Xenopus tropicalis: one gene and its partner. The protein of the gene in region 2 purifies or fractionates together with the protein of the main gene of each other region. This does not show direct contact. Links are inferred from orthologs where the notes say so. Each region holds a gene or a part of one and is shown on either strand. Other genes may lie near its edges.

Evidence for each region. Proteins that work in one complex are often made in the same cells at the same time.
Region 1: the proteins of ppp2r2d (region 2) and cdca4 purify together in Homo sapiens (affinity purification with mass spectrometry; 3 studies listed by BioGRID and IntAct, counting the BioPlex papers as one, with this or other methods). This does not show direct contact. The link is inferred for Xenopus tropicalis from reciprocal best matches to the Homo sapiens genes PPP2R2D and CDCA4.

Annotation. Positions count from the first base shown.
Region 1 is NC_030684.2:100,009,833-100,015,912, reverse strand, and holds the start of cdca4 (cell division cycle-associated protein 4), read left to right. Parts: upstream 1-2,776; 5' UTR 2,777-2,933; intron 2,934-6,080. UniProt on the Homo sapiens protein: May participate in the regulation of cell proliferation through the E2F/RB pathway. May be involved in molecular regulation of hematopoietic stem cells and progenitor cell lineage commitment and differentiation.
Region 2 is NC_030683.2:21,323,413-21,328,712, forward strand, and holds part of ppp2r2d (serine/threonine-protein phosphatase 2A 55 kDa regulatory subunit B delta isoform), read right to left. Parts: intron 5,039-5,300; coding exon 4,941-5,038; intron 4,346-4,940; coding exon 4,180-4,345; intron 2,300-4,179; coding exon 2,187-2,299; intron 1,648-2,186; coding exon 1,470-1,647; intron 878-1,469; coding exon 713-877; intron 1-712. UniProt on the Homo sapiens protein: Substrate-recognition subunit of protein phosphatase 2A (PP2A) that plays a key role in cell cycle by controlling mitosis entry and exit. Involved in chromosome clustering during late mitosis by mediating dephosphorylation of MKI67.

The DNA of each region.
Region 1 (6,080 bases), on a different chromosome or scaffold from region 2:
ACTTGTAGCAATATTCCAGACCTCTGCACAGGCAACAGTGTGTGTGTGTGTGTACAGGCACATTGATTCCTGTATGCTGGATTCACAGGCACCTCTCTATGTCTCTCAGTCAGAGCTCTCCTGTAGACTTACTAGCCAGGCTTTCATGCTTATTGATTAGCCAGCTGAGTCTAATCAGGCCCACCTGGTCAGTCTGTAGCATTTACTCCGCTATAGCCAGTCCATGTATTTGTAAGAAATGGCTATATATTCTGTTATTGATTAGCTTGTATACATATAAATGTTATTGCACATGAGTTACTGTTTCTACAACATTTATTTAAAAGTTATAGAAAAGGCAAATTGTAGTTTTATGGCAATATGCAAGTGAATGCCCTAAATCAGGGGTCTCAAACTCGCGGCCCGCGGGCCATTTGCGGCCCTCGGTACAGTATTTTGTGGCCCGCACCAACGCCTTCTCAAAAGCAATGAATGGATCGCGATTTTTATTGCGATTCAAGGGATAATGCAAGGCACGGCGGGCGGGAGCTGCTGATTGCGGAAATTACGTTATGCCATCATAACAGTTATTATGGGAAGACGTTCTGTGTGCACAATTAGCTGCTAAGGAGCTAATTGTGCACACAGAACGTCTTCCCATAATAACTGTTATGATGGCATAACGTAATTTCCGCAATCAGCAGCTCCCGCCCGCCGTGCCTTGCATTATCCCTTGAAAGCCAATTTTTTGTGAAATCTCTTATGCAGCCCAGCCTCATCCTGACTTTGCGTCCTGCGGCCCCCAGGTAAATTGAGTTTGAGCCCCCTGCCCTAAATTTATTGTTTAAGTAACACTCCCATCATCACCTGCCAGCTCACTTGACATGTATGTTTCAAATTGCTGAGCCCATGTAAATACCTTGCTGCTCAAAAAAGCAAGTGATATGTTGTTTCTTTCATGTTTTTCTCACAAATAACCGAGACATATATTATAGGTGGTTGTTAGTGACTCAGGTGAGTGAGACAGGTGTCAGACAATGTAACGTTGAATTAGGCTGAATTTTCACATCTTCTTTAAAAACTTTTCCAGGTTTTCTATCAGATAGTAAGTTGGGCAGGTGGGGGTTGAACTTTAGATGTCAGTCAAAAATGATTGGACTCTCCCACTCCTCTCTGCTCTGCCTGTCAGAACTGGACCAAGTTAAAGGAACAGTAACATCAAAATATGAAAGTGTATTAAAGTAATTACAATATGATGCACTGTTACCCTGCACTGGTATAACTAGTGTGTTTGCCTCAGAAAGACTATTATAGTTTATATAAGCAAAGCTTCTGTGTAGCCATGGGGGCAGCCATTCGAATAAAAAAAAGGCACAGGTTACTTAGCAGATAACAGATAAAATGTTATTGTATTCTACAGAGCTTATCTGCTATCTGCTATGTAACCTGTGCCTTTTCTCCTTTTTTCCAGCTTATTTATATAGACTATAGGAGCGTTCTGTAGCAAATACACCAGTTTTACCAGTGCAGGGCAAGATTACATTACATTTTAATTACTTTAAAACACTTTCATATTTTGGTGTTACTGTTCCTTTAAGCAGATCCCCATTTATGATAGTTCCCCTTTAATATACCTTATATACTCAAGTATAAGCCGATCCGAATATAAGCCGAGGTACCGAATTTTACCTAAGAAAACTGGAAAAACGTATTGACTTGAGTATCAAGTTTCAATAATCAAAATAAATACCAATACAATTACATAAAATGAGGCATCAGTGGGGTATAGGTTTTTAAATATTTATTTCAAAGAAAAACCATAAACTAGCTCTGTAAGTGAAGAAGAGGATCAACAAAAACAATATTGTATCAACAATGATACCTTAAGAGTACTACCCCCTTAGCTCAATCAGCAACCAAGCTAAAACACAAAGAGTTAAAATCCTTCAAAACTATATATAGTTTATATAGAATATAAAGTGCAATGCCTAGTGCAGAATGGGACAGGTGAGGATGGTAGATGAAGATGAATTTGGGAGCAGGACAGGGCACTGGAGGGTCTGGTTGCAGGTGGCCTAATTTGCACACAAAGGACAGAGGGTGCTAGTCTGGAGGGACCGATGGCAGCCAACTCGAGTATAAGCCGAGGGTGACTTTCTCAGCACATTTTGGGTGCTAAAAAACTAGGCTTATACTCGAGTATATACAGTAATAATGGACAAATTAGACAACCCTCTTGCTCCATGTTAACAACATTAATTTACAACTGGACTAATCATGTACCCGCATAAAATGGGTGGGGGAGTATTTAATACATGTCATACAGGCCAAGTTTAAGAGAACGGCTTCCCCCATGGTTTTGAGCCCAAGTTACCAGCGCAGGCTAGCTACATTATATTTAAATGCATACAAAACTTTAATTTGGTGTTAAAAAGGAGCAATTACGTGAAGACATTGACAGTAACCCTTTCAGAAATAAACATTTGCAAAAAGTAACTCTTTCTATAAAACCTCAGTGTGCAAAATGATTATTTTTCGGTTTCAACTTTGTAATAATTACGTGTGCACGGAGTAGCAAGCGGTACGGTAACAATGCGTTGCAAAGCCATTCACATCAGCTCCGCTGAAAACAAAAAAGATTTTTCTTCCCTGCTGGGATTCAAAAAGCGGCTCTTTTTTCCACCAATCATGAGACAGGAAGTGGGGCGGGTTTACGATCTCTATGGCAATCTTTTGTCGGTCACGGCCAATCAGGGGCGGTACCGCTCTGCGCACTCCTTCCTCTTTCGGTGGTTAGAGCGCGGGAGGTGAGGTGCCGCCGGGTCCTGGCTTCAGTCAGCTCAAACGAACGCTCCGTACAAAACATTGTTTACACCGACTTGACAGCTTATCGACACCGCCGCCTCTACGTCCGATTATATGCCGCTGGCCTGCGAGCAGCGTCTTTATTACCAGTGAGTAATTCAAAGGGGAGACAGAAGTTGGGGCTGCATTGGAAACTGCTTTGTGGAATTCCCGGCCTTTATAGGGCTGCTTGTATTATAAAAACCTATCTTATATACGCAGAGTTATTAATAGTTGTTGTTAACCACATAGAATAGCGACGGAGCTAAAGCACCAGGAAACAATGAGCAGCTAAAATGGCGGCTCCCTTCCCCCACTCGTCATCTGGAAGCAATGCAGTGACGTCAGTGCCAGGGGCCCCCTGCCTGGGAACTGTAGTTCCGAGCTCCGCTAAGGCTCCAGAGGCCGAACTACAATTTCCCCCAACATTATGGAGGGAAAAAAGTCTCACTTTAAGATTAATATTCGTGTGGTTGACGCGTGCCTACTTAAACGATTTTATGAGTGAATAATATATATATATTTCATATGGGGGCTTGTGTACATTCATGTTAAATTGTGTCAGTTTGTGCATTTGTTTGGTGGTATATTCCATAAAGTGGAGCAATTAAACACTTATTATTTTAGTATGAATCAAATTTCTGTCATGGGGCTTGAACTCTGAAGTCACTTTAGTATTACAACAGTGAAACTGAATTGTATTTACCCCCTTCATCATATGTGCATGTTTGCCACATACACCCTTCTGTTGTACATTGCTGTGGAATATGTTGGCACTTTATAGATACATGTAAAAAAAATGGCAGTAAGAATAATCTCATGCTCTTTAAGCTATTTCCTTGAACAGATCCCCAGCCTATGAGGAATTTGCCTTGTCCCCCAAACCTCAGACTAATAAACAAAACCACTGTGTTAATAAAGCCAACTGGGCATGTATGGGCTGAAGTTGACAATTCAGTCCTTGCAGACTGAGTTGGTGCTTATTGGCCTATGTAAGGGGCCCACTGATGTCCTGTCTGACATCTGGCCAAAATCCACCAATGTTTTATTTTTCATTCTGTCATGTTAAAGGACATGTCAAGCCCAAAAATACATTTTTGCCTAATAAAAGAAAACGTAATTCCAAGCAACTTTCAGGTGTGAATTTATTTAACATTTTTAGTGCTTTAAAAGTTATTTGTAAATGTATTTTCTATTGAAAGCAGCATTTTCTGGATGCTACTTTTTATACAATGTTGCAAAGATCAGTCTCCTCTAGTAAGACAGGTCTGTAAAATCTGCTGCCTTGTGTTACATTGTTTCAAATGCTAGGGCCCCCAGGGTAGAGAATAGAAAAGGACTGGCAAACACTACTCAAAGTCAAAACCCATTGCAGATTTGTAATGAATGTATATTGTAAGTTGATAGAAGTAAAAAAATATATATTTTGGGTTGACTTGTCCTTTAATGTGGTCCTCATCTATTGGGCCTGTAGAGCCACTTTGTATCATTCAGTTGTTGGCTTCTTGGTACAACAATCGGATCAGCTTAGGCTATTAGGCTTGTAGGTGGCCAAATTTGATCCAGTTCTGCTCACTGGCAACCTTGCCAAACAAGCGGTTCTGGCAGTGTATGGCCAGTTTTAGTGACTGGGGGCACATTTGCAGTAGGCAGTTAGGGTTGGGTAGGTTTTTGTAAGTGTAGTTACACATTGCTGTTATAACATAGAACTTTATCTTAATTAGGTAACAGCGTACAAGGTATTTTTCGTTGATGGGTATTTAGCTGGCTGAGAAGCAAACAAAACTATTTATCGGCTCCAGTTTATTAGAATGCTAAATTCCTTTAAGGTAGAGGTATTGGCCCATTTAAGAAAACACTTATAGCACATCCATGGGCTGAAAAGCACCAGTACTAGTGTAGCAAGAAGCAACAGGAGTAGTTTTAATGCTTCTGTGAAAATACTCTGGCAGGTAATGTACCCAGTGTGCCATTAGCCTTGGGTTACATTCATTTGCTGTTAAGCAGACTGTATCACTATTATTTGGGTTGGTTTATTTTTTTAATTAAAGGGATAGCTAAAAATTATTGACCTCCAGGTGCCTTTTTTATGCATAGTTTTATTTAGTTTCTGTGAAGGATCAGAATGAACCATTTTCTATATATTTGCATTTAAAGAACTCTATACTTGTCATTGTCACACTGTAATTTGCTTTTTTTTTTTCAGTGTTCCATGTTGGACCCTTTTTCATGGAATGCATTTGTGGCACCTTGCCCTGCTGTCCTCTTGGCCTGTATTTTTTTGTCTCAATATTAAATTTTTCTGCTCTGGTATTAAAGCATCTATGTTTCCTTTGCATCTGCACTGGTATCTGTTTCTTGCATTCAAGGATAACCTTCTGTACTGTATAGTGATGAGCAAACCTGCAGCTTCCCGCTGAGTCCTCTCTCTCCCTGCCAGGGGTGAGGACGCAGCGGGGGGCAGATCCGGTCCGTGGGCTGTAGTTTGAGAACCCCTGATGTAAACATTTGACTGCACACTTGGTCTAGCTAGTTGTGTGAGCCATAGTCTTTCCTACCCACCTCGGCTGGCATAAAAATAGCAAGCTCCGAAATGGACTGGTTGGTCTTGTATCTTCTATACCTCTGGCAAAAGGCAGCTTATGAGCTGTGGGTAAATCTCAACCAATCTCCCCAACATACCTGTATCTATCTTATTAAATTGTAAAAACGGGCATGCAAGGATAATGATGCATATGCCAAATGGCATCCAATTACATTTCATTTACTCTCTGAATGAAGTGCAAGAAAACATTAAATTAAAAGTCCAGCTGTATATTCTTGGCTTTTGAATTTAAGGCCCTCAGATATTGTTGGACTACAACTTTGTGCATCCTTAAAATTATAATCTATGGCTGAAGTATGCTGGGAATTAATGGCCACAATAGTGTCCAAATGTAACATATAAAAACTGTATACTGACCGATATTTGAATGCGTTGATGTGCCTCACTAAATGAAACCTGTAACACACACATTAGATGTGTCAATTAGCATGCTATAGTCTGTATGCACTTTATACAGCTTATATGTGCATTTTGTTATTAGGTTCTGTAACAGCATTTGAAGAGAAATAATAAACATTTATTAAAAGTGTGACCTGCATCTCCATGTCCAAGGTACAAAAACATTAGTAAACAATGAATTCCAGTACAAGTGCATATGTGGCTGTTTGTGTGTATGACAGCATTCACCAGCTTGAATTTTATTTTTGTTTGC
Region 2 (5,300 bases):
TTATATCTTAGTTGGGATCAAGTACAGGTACTGTTTTATTATTACAGAGAAAAAGAAAATCAGTTTTAAAATTCTGAATTATTTGATTAAAATAGAGTCTATGGGAGAAGGGCTTTCCGTAATTCGGAGCTTTCTGAATAATGGATTTCTGCACAAGGGATCCCATACCTGTACTATAATAAAGGCACTTTTTCACCTTGGCAATAAATATGACATGCTGTAAATGGTCATTAACCACAGGTGTACAACATGGCTCTTGGCTGTTAGTACATAGTACAGGTATAGGATCCGTTATCCGGAAACCTGTTTTCCACAAAGTTCAGAATTACGGGAAGGCCATCTCCCATAGACTCCATTATAAGCAAATAATTCTAATTTTTAAAATTGATGATAAAACAGTACCTTATACTGGATCCCAACTAAGATATAATGAATCCTTATTGAAGGCATAACAATCCTATTGGGTTTTTTCATGTTTCAATGATTTTTAGCACACTTAAGTTATGGAGATCCAAATTACGGAAAACATATCTGGAAAACTCCAGGTCCTGAGCATTCTGGATAACAGGTCCTATACCTGTAACTTAGACACTGGCACAACAGGGCAATCGTGAGTGGGATAAACCCTGCGTGTTTATTTAGTGCAAACCATGTAATGTTTAGGGGGAAGCCCCTTCGTCAGACATGTGACCTGGTGAATTCTGGAACTTACATTTTGAATGTCTATCACAGAGCGCGGAGTCTCGCATGTCACAAAGTCTAATTGTTCCTTTGCTACTGCTGTAGACAAACACGTTACAATGATGGGGATGGAATTCTGCAGCCGTTATGACTTCTGTCAGCTCCTCCATGTTAGCAGGCTTAATATCTACAATGTCTGGAAAGGCAGTTAAGGTTTTTCTAACAATCGAATAGAATTATGGGGGCTATGTAAGGATAGGCACTAAGTTGCCCAGGAGCAGTAGCCCATAGCAACCAATCAGCAGGAAGAATTTTCTGGTCACCTATTTAAAAGCAAACATCTTATTGGCTGCCATGGGTTACTGCTCCTGGGCAAACTTAGTGCCGTTTATTACACATGGGGGTAGAAAACAAAAAGACCAAAAGATGGGAGCAGAAAGCTCAGTTACACAATATAGTTCATGCTTAACTAGAACCATTTTGTGTCTAGGCTTGTATCCCATAGGATGAAAACTAGCAGGTACCTCTATAGCTGGCTATGAACATATAGTAGGCTCCATGCCCCGACATACAGTAGACTGCACTCCCCATAAAAATTAATTTCCCAATATGAAAATCCTTATATAAATTCACTGATAGTATGAGACAGTAATAATATAAAACATAACATATATTTAGCCCAACATCTAGGAAAAATAAACAGTAAGGAGAATCTCCAGGAATATATTTCTATTTGCCAGTGCCATACTGACGTAAATTTTTCAACGCTGATGGTAAGCAAAGGATACTAAAACTTCTATCTGTAATTTCTAAATGCCATAAATTAATTCTCAGGTCATCTGCTGAAAGGTAAGTTTCATGATCGCTATTTACGGAAATTGAGTTTATATGATATGTGTGCGCATTTGCAAATATCCGTCGTGGACTTGCTTCCACCATTAGGTCCATGGGTTTTAGGATTGGCACCTGAAATGAGAATACATGCAAAGTGGTTAAAGGGAACCTTGGCAAGAAATGAAGAAATAACAGCAAGAATAAAATGGGCACAATTGCTACAGCACATCTTGTAGCTGTAAACAAGGCTTGGTAAAGGCTCTACTACTATGGTCACTACACATCATAGGGCTCTACTACCAGTTCTCACAGTCAACTCCCTTCCACTTCAGCTTGTGTGCAGGCCTGTATTTGTATATAGGCACCCAAGGGCCTGTGCCTAGGGTGGCAGCCTTAGGGGAAAGGTCCTTGGTGCCTATATAATCAATTAAGTTAAAAGAATGAAAAAATAAAAACCCTCGCCAGTAGCCACCAGGGGAAATCTGTTGGGAGCTATGGGGGGGGGGGGGGGGAATTGCGCTGTCTGGGGGTGTAGTTATCTCCAGTACCTACAGGGGCACCAGAACTAAATACTTCCCTGCTCGCCCAGAATAGCCTATGCCCATAGATAATGTAGTGGCTGTACCCTTCTAATTATCTTTCTTCATAACTCTGTTTCCCCCAAAACTTACCCGTAAAGATGTAATTCTAAATGGATCCCGCAGCCTGCCGTCATCGTCCTTTAAGTTGTAGCCTTCAACTCGTTTGTCTCGCTCACTTATTTTCCACAATTTTATAGTTTTGTCTGCAGGGAAGATAAATTCCTTTCAGTGCATGAAAACAACCTTTGTACATGACTGCTTTCAGTAAGGTAACAGCGCACTCTTTCCAAACAATACTGTATCTATCAGGGCCATCACAATGTCACCTTGCAGGGAATTTCTATGGCTCTTGCCTCCTGCCCAAGGACAATATCTATATATCTGGGGTGAACAAAAATGCAATTGAGGACTTTCAGTTCTATCAGTTGCCGACGCTATAATATAAGGGGAAAATGATTTCTACTTTCTCAAGAAGCACCTTATTGTGGCTTCTCACAGGTTTCTACCCAAACATATAATATGATCAACCAATGCACGTCACCAAAATGGTTGGTTTGGCAGAGAAGCCAAAGGTGTATGGGTACTTATGGCAATAAGCTAAAATGAGAAGAGGAGAGCTAAGCACCAGCACTGTGTCAATTTAAATATAAAACCTTTATTTTCTCTCATTAAAAACATGAGGCTCCTGTTAGCGTCACAATGGGCCAACATATTTTGGGCAATCCCACCTGTAATCATAGGCTATTAGTCAAAACTGTATGTGACACTGCCGCAGGAGTCTGGAGCGGTGTTTTACTTATACAGACATGGGATGTTGTCTGGAAACCCATTATCCAGAAAGCTCCGAATTACAAGAAGGCCATCTCCTGTACACTCAATTTTAATCAAATAATTCTTATTTTTAAAACCGATATACTTTTTCTCTGTAATAATAAAACAGTACCTTGTACATGATTCCAACTAAAATATCATTATTCCTTACTGGAGGCAAAACAGTCCTACTGAGTTTTTTTCATGTTTAAATTATTTTAGTCTACCTAAAGAAGACACATAGGATAAAAAAAACCTGAAGTCTTGTGCAGTCACACAAGCAAAGGCAGGATTCAGTTTCCTATCAGGTCAGCCTAGCAGCTAATTGGTTCCTATCCTACAGTGCAGTGTACTGCCGCCCCCCCGGCACAGCCTGGGAAAGGATGCAGCAGGAAGCGAACAGATGGTGGGACTAGTGGAGTTTTTGGAGAAATTTTTAATAAATCAGCCAAAAACACTACTTTTTAAACAAATTCCTTCAATATTCATATGAGTACAATTTATTGGCACAATATTAATTGTCACATAATATGTCCCCTTTAAGATATGGAGATCCAAATTAAGGAAAGATTCCTTATCTGAATGAAAAGTTGATCCCCACCTGACCTTAACCCACCCACACCTGAACTGGTGAGCTACTGGTATTCATAGACTCACACTCGACCCATCCATCTCTGTGTGGGTGGGGAGAGGGCGCGAGACTATTAATACAGGCTGACTGAAGCAGAACTGGGGCATGGTAAGGTCACAGATCGGGGCTCTGGCCCCACAAAGAATGTGTGGATGTCAGCAGGAACCCTCTGGCCCACAGGTAAACCTACAGACTGTTCTGCCAGGTTTCAGGCCGGCCTGCACATCACTAGTCACCATGTAGTCAAACTGGACTATTTTCTGTCACCTAAGTTGACTAGTCAGATATCCTCTACATAGGTGTGGCTCATGTTAGAAGAATTGCTATAAATCAGTGTGCAAATTGCTGTTAGCAGGAAAAGCAGTTCACACCTAAACAAATTAAACATCAGAATTCACACACAATGTCCTATTTATAGAGAGCCATACAAACTATATTATGGCAGTATACAACTGCATGCCCAAACCCTATATTCTCCAGCTGCATAGGCTATAAAACTAATGTGGCCCTATCCACTAACAGCATCCAGGCATTTCATTTCTTCATTTTGACTACACCAGTGAAAACCAACTGCTTATTTTGAGCCACAAAATAAAAGCCACTGGGAGGGGGACCATGTATTGATCAAACCCATTTACTTACCATTGGTAGACAGTAGAAAGTGAGCAGCGTTCTGCTGGGGCAACCACCTAATTTTGTTAATTTTTTCTTCGATTTCTAGACTTTTTAAATAGTCAAATTCAGGTTCATGGCTTTGAAAAGTGCTGTAAACGTTATATTCACCCCTCGAATGAGGACGACTTTTATTCTAGAAAATAAAAGTGAAAACATTGAATACTCAAGTGCAATCTTAGGAGCCGTGCCTTGGGGAAGCAGAAGTGGGTGAGATTTGAGATTGATTTGAGATGAAAACATTTTCTACACCAGATATTCTTGGACCTTTGGCTAAATGACTGCAATATTTACATATAAAAGGGGTGTAAAAGGTATGGGGCAGCCCAGACCAAACGTCGGACGTCAAGGTGGGCTCGAAACAAAAGTCAGAAAAAATTCAAGTCATGGATTCCAGGAACTGCACACACTATATGGGGCCATACCAGTTCTTTGTAAAGGTGAAGAATTACCCTCTCACTGAATGAATCAATATATCTTAGAATAGAATACAATATATTTCTGGCCATTACTGCTGTACTTGCTACTTGTAGACTGCCAGAATAGCAGTAAATAATGCATATAGATAATTATATTATAAATAATGCTTATACATTTGGAAACAATGTACCTGATTAGTAGCCAACTACATGGAGCAGCTACAGCCATTCAAACAGGACAGATACAAGAGAAGCACTCAGGCTCCAGTAATCCAGATCAATAATAATATTTTCCCGAAATCCAATACTGACCTCTTGTTCCCTTTGGAATATAACAACTCTCCCGCCTTTGTCGCCTGTAGCTAGCAAATCTCCAGAACAATTGAACTCGACAGTTGAAATAATATCAGCTGTAAGAAAAAAAAAAATCACTTGATATTATATTCACATGTATGAAAGATCTGATACCTAAAAGGTAACATAGAAAATAGCACATACAGAATAAGTTACCTGGCAGGGCTGTTATGGGATTTTGCTGCATATGGAAATAGTTGTTACGGTGTCTCTTAGGTGTGTAATTATATGCTGGGGGTTGCTGTGCTACCCACAGGGAGGCATTTGGATTTAAGGGTATGTCTTAATAAAAAAACCCTTTTTTACATATGAGTGATG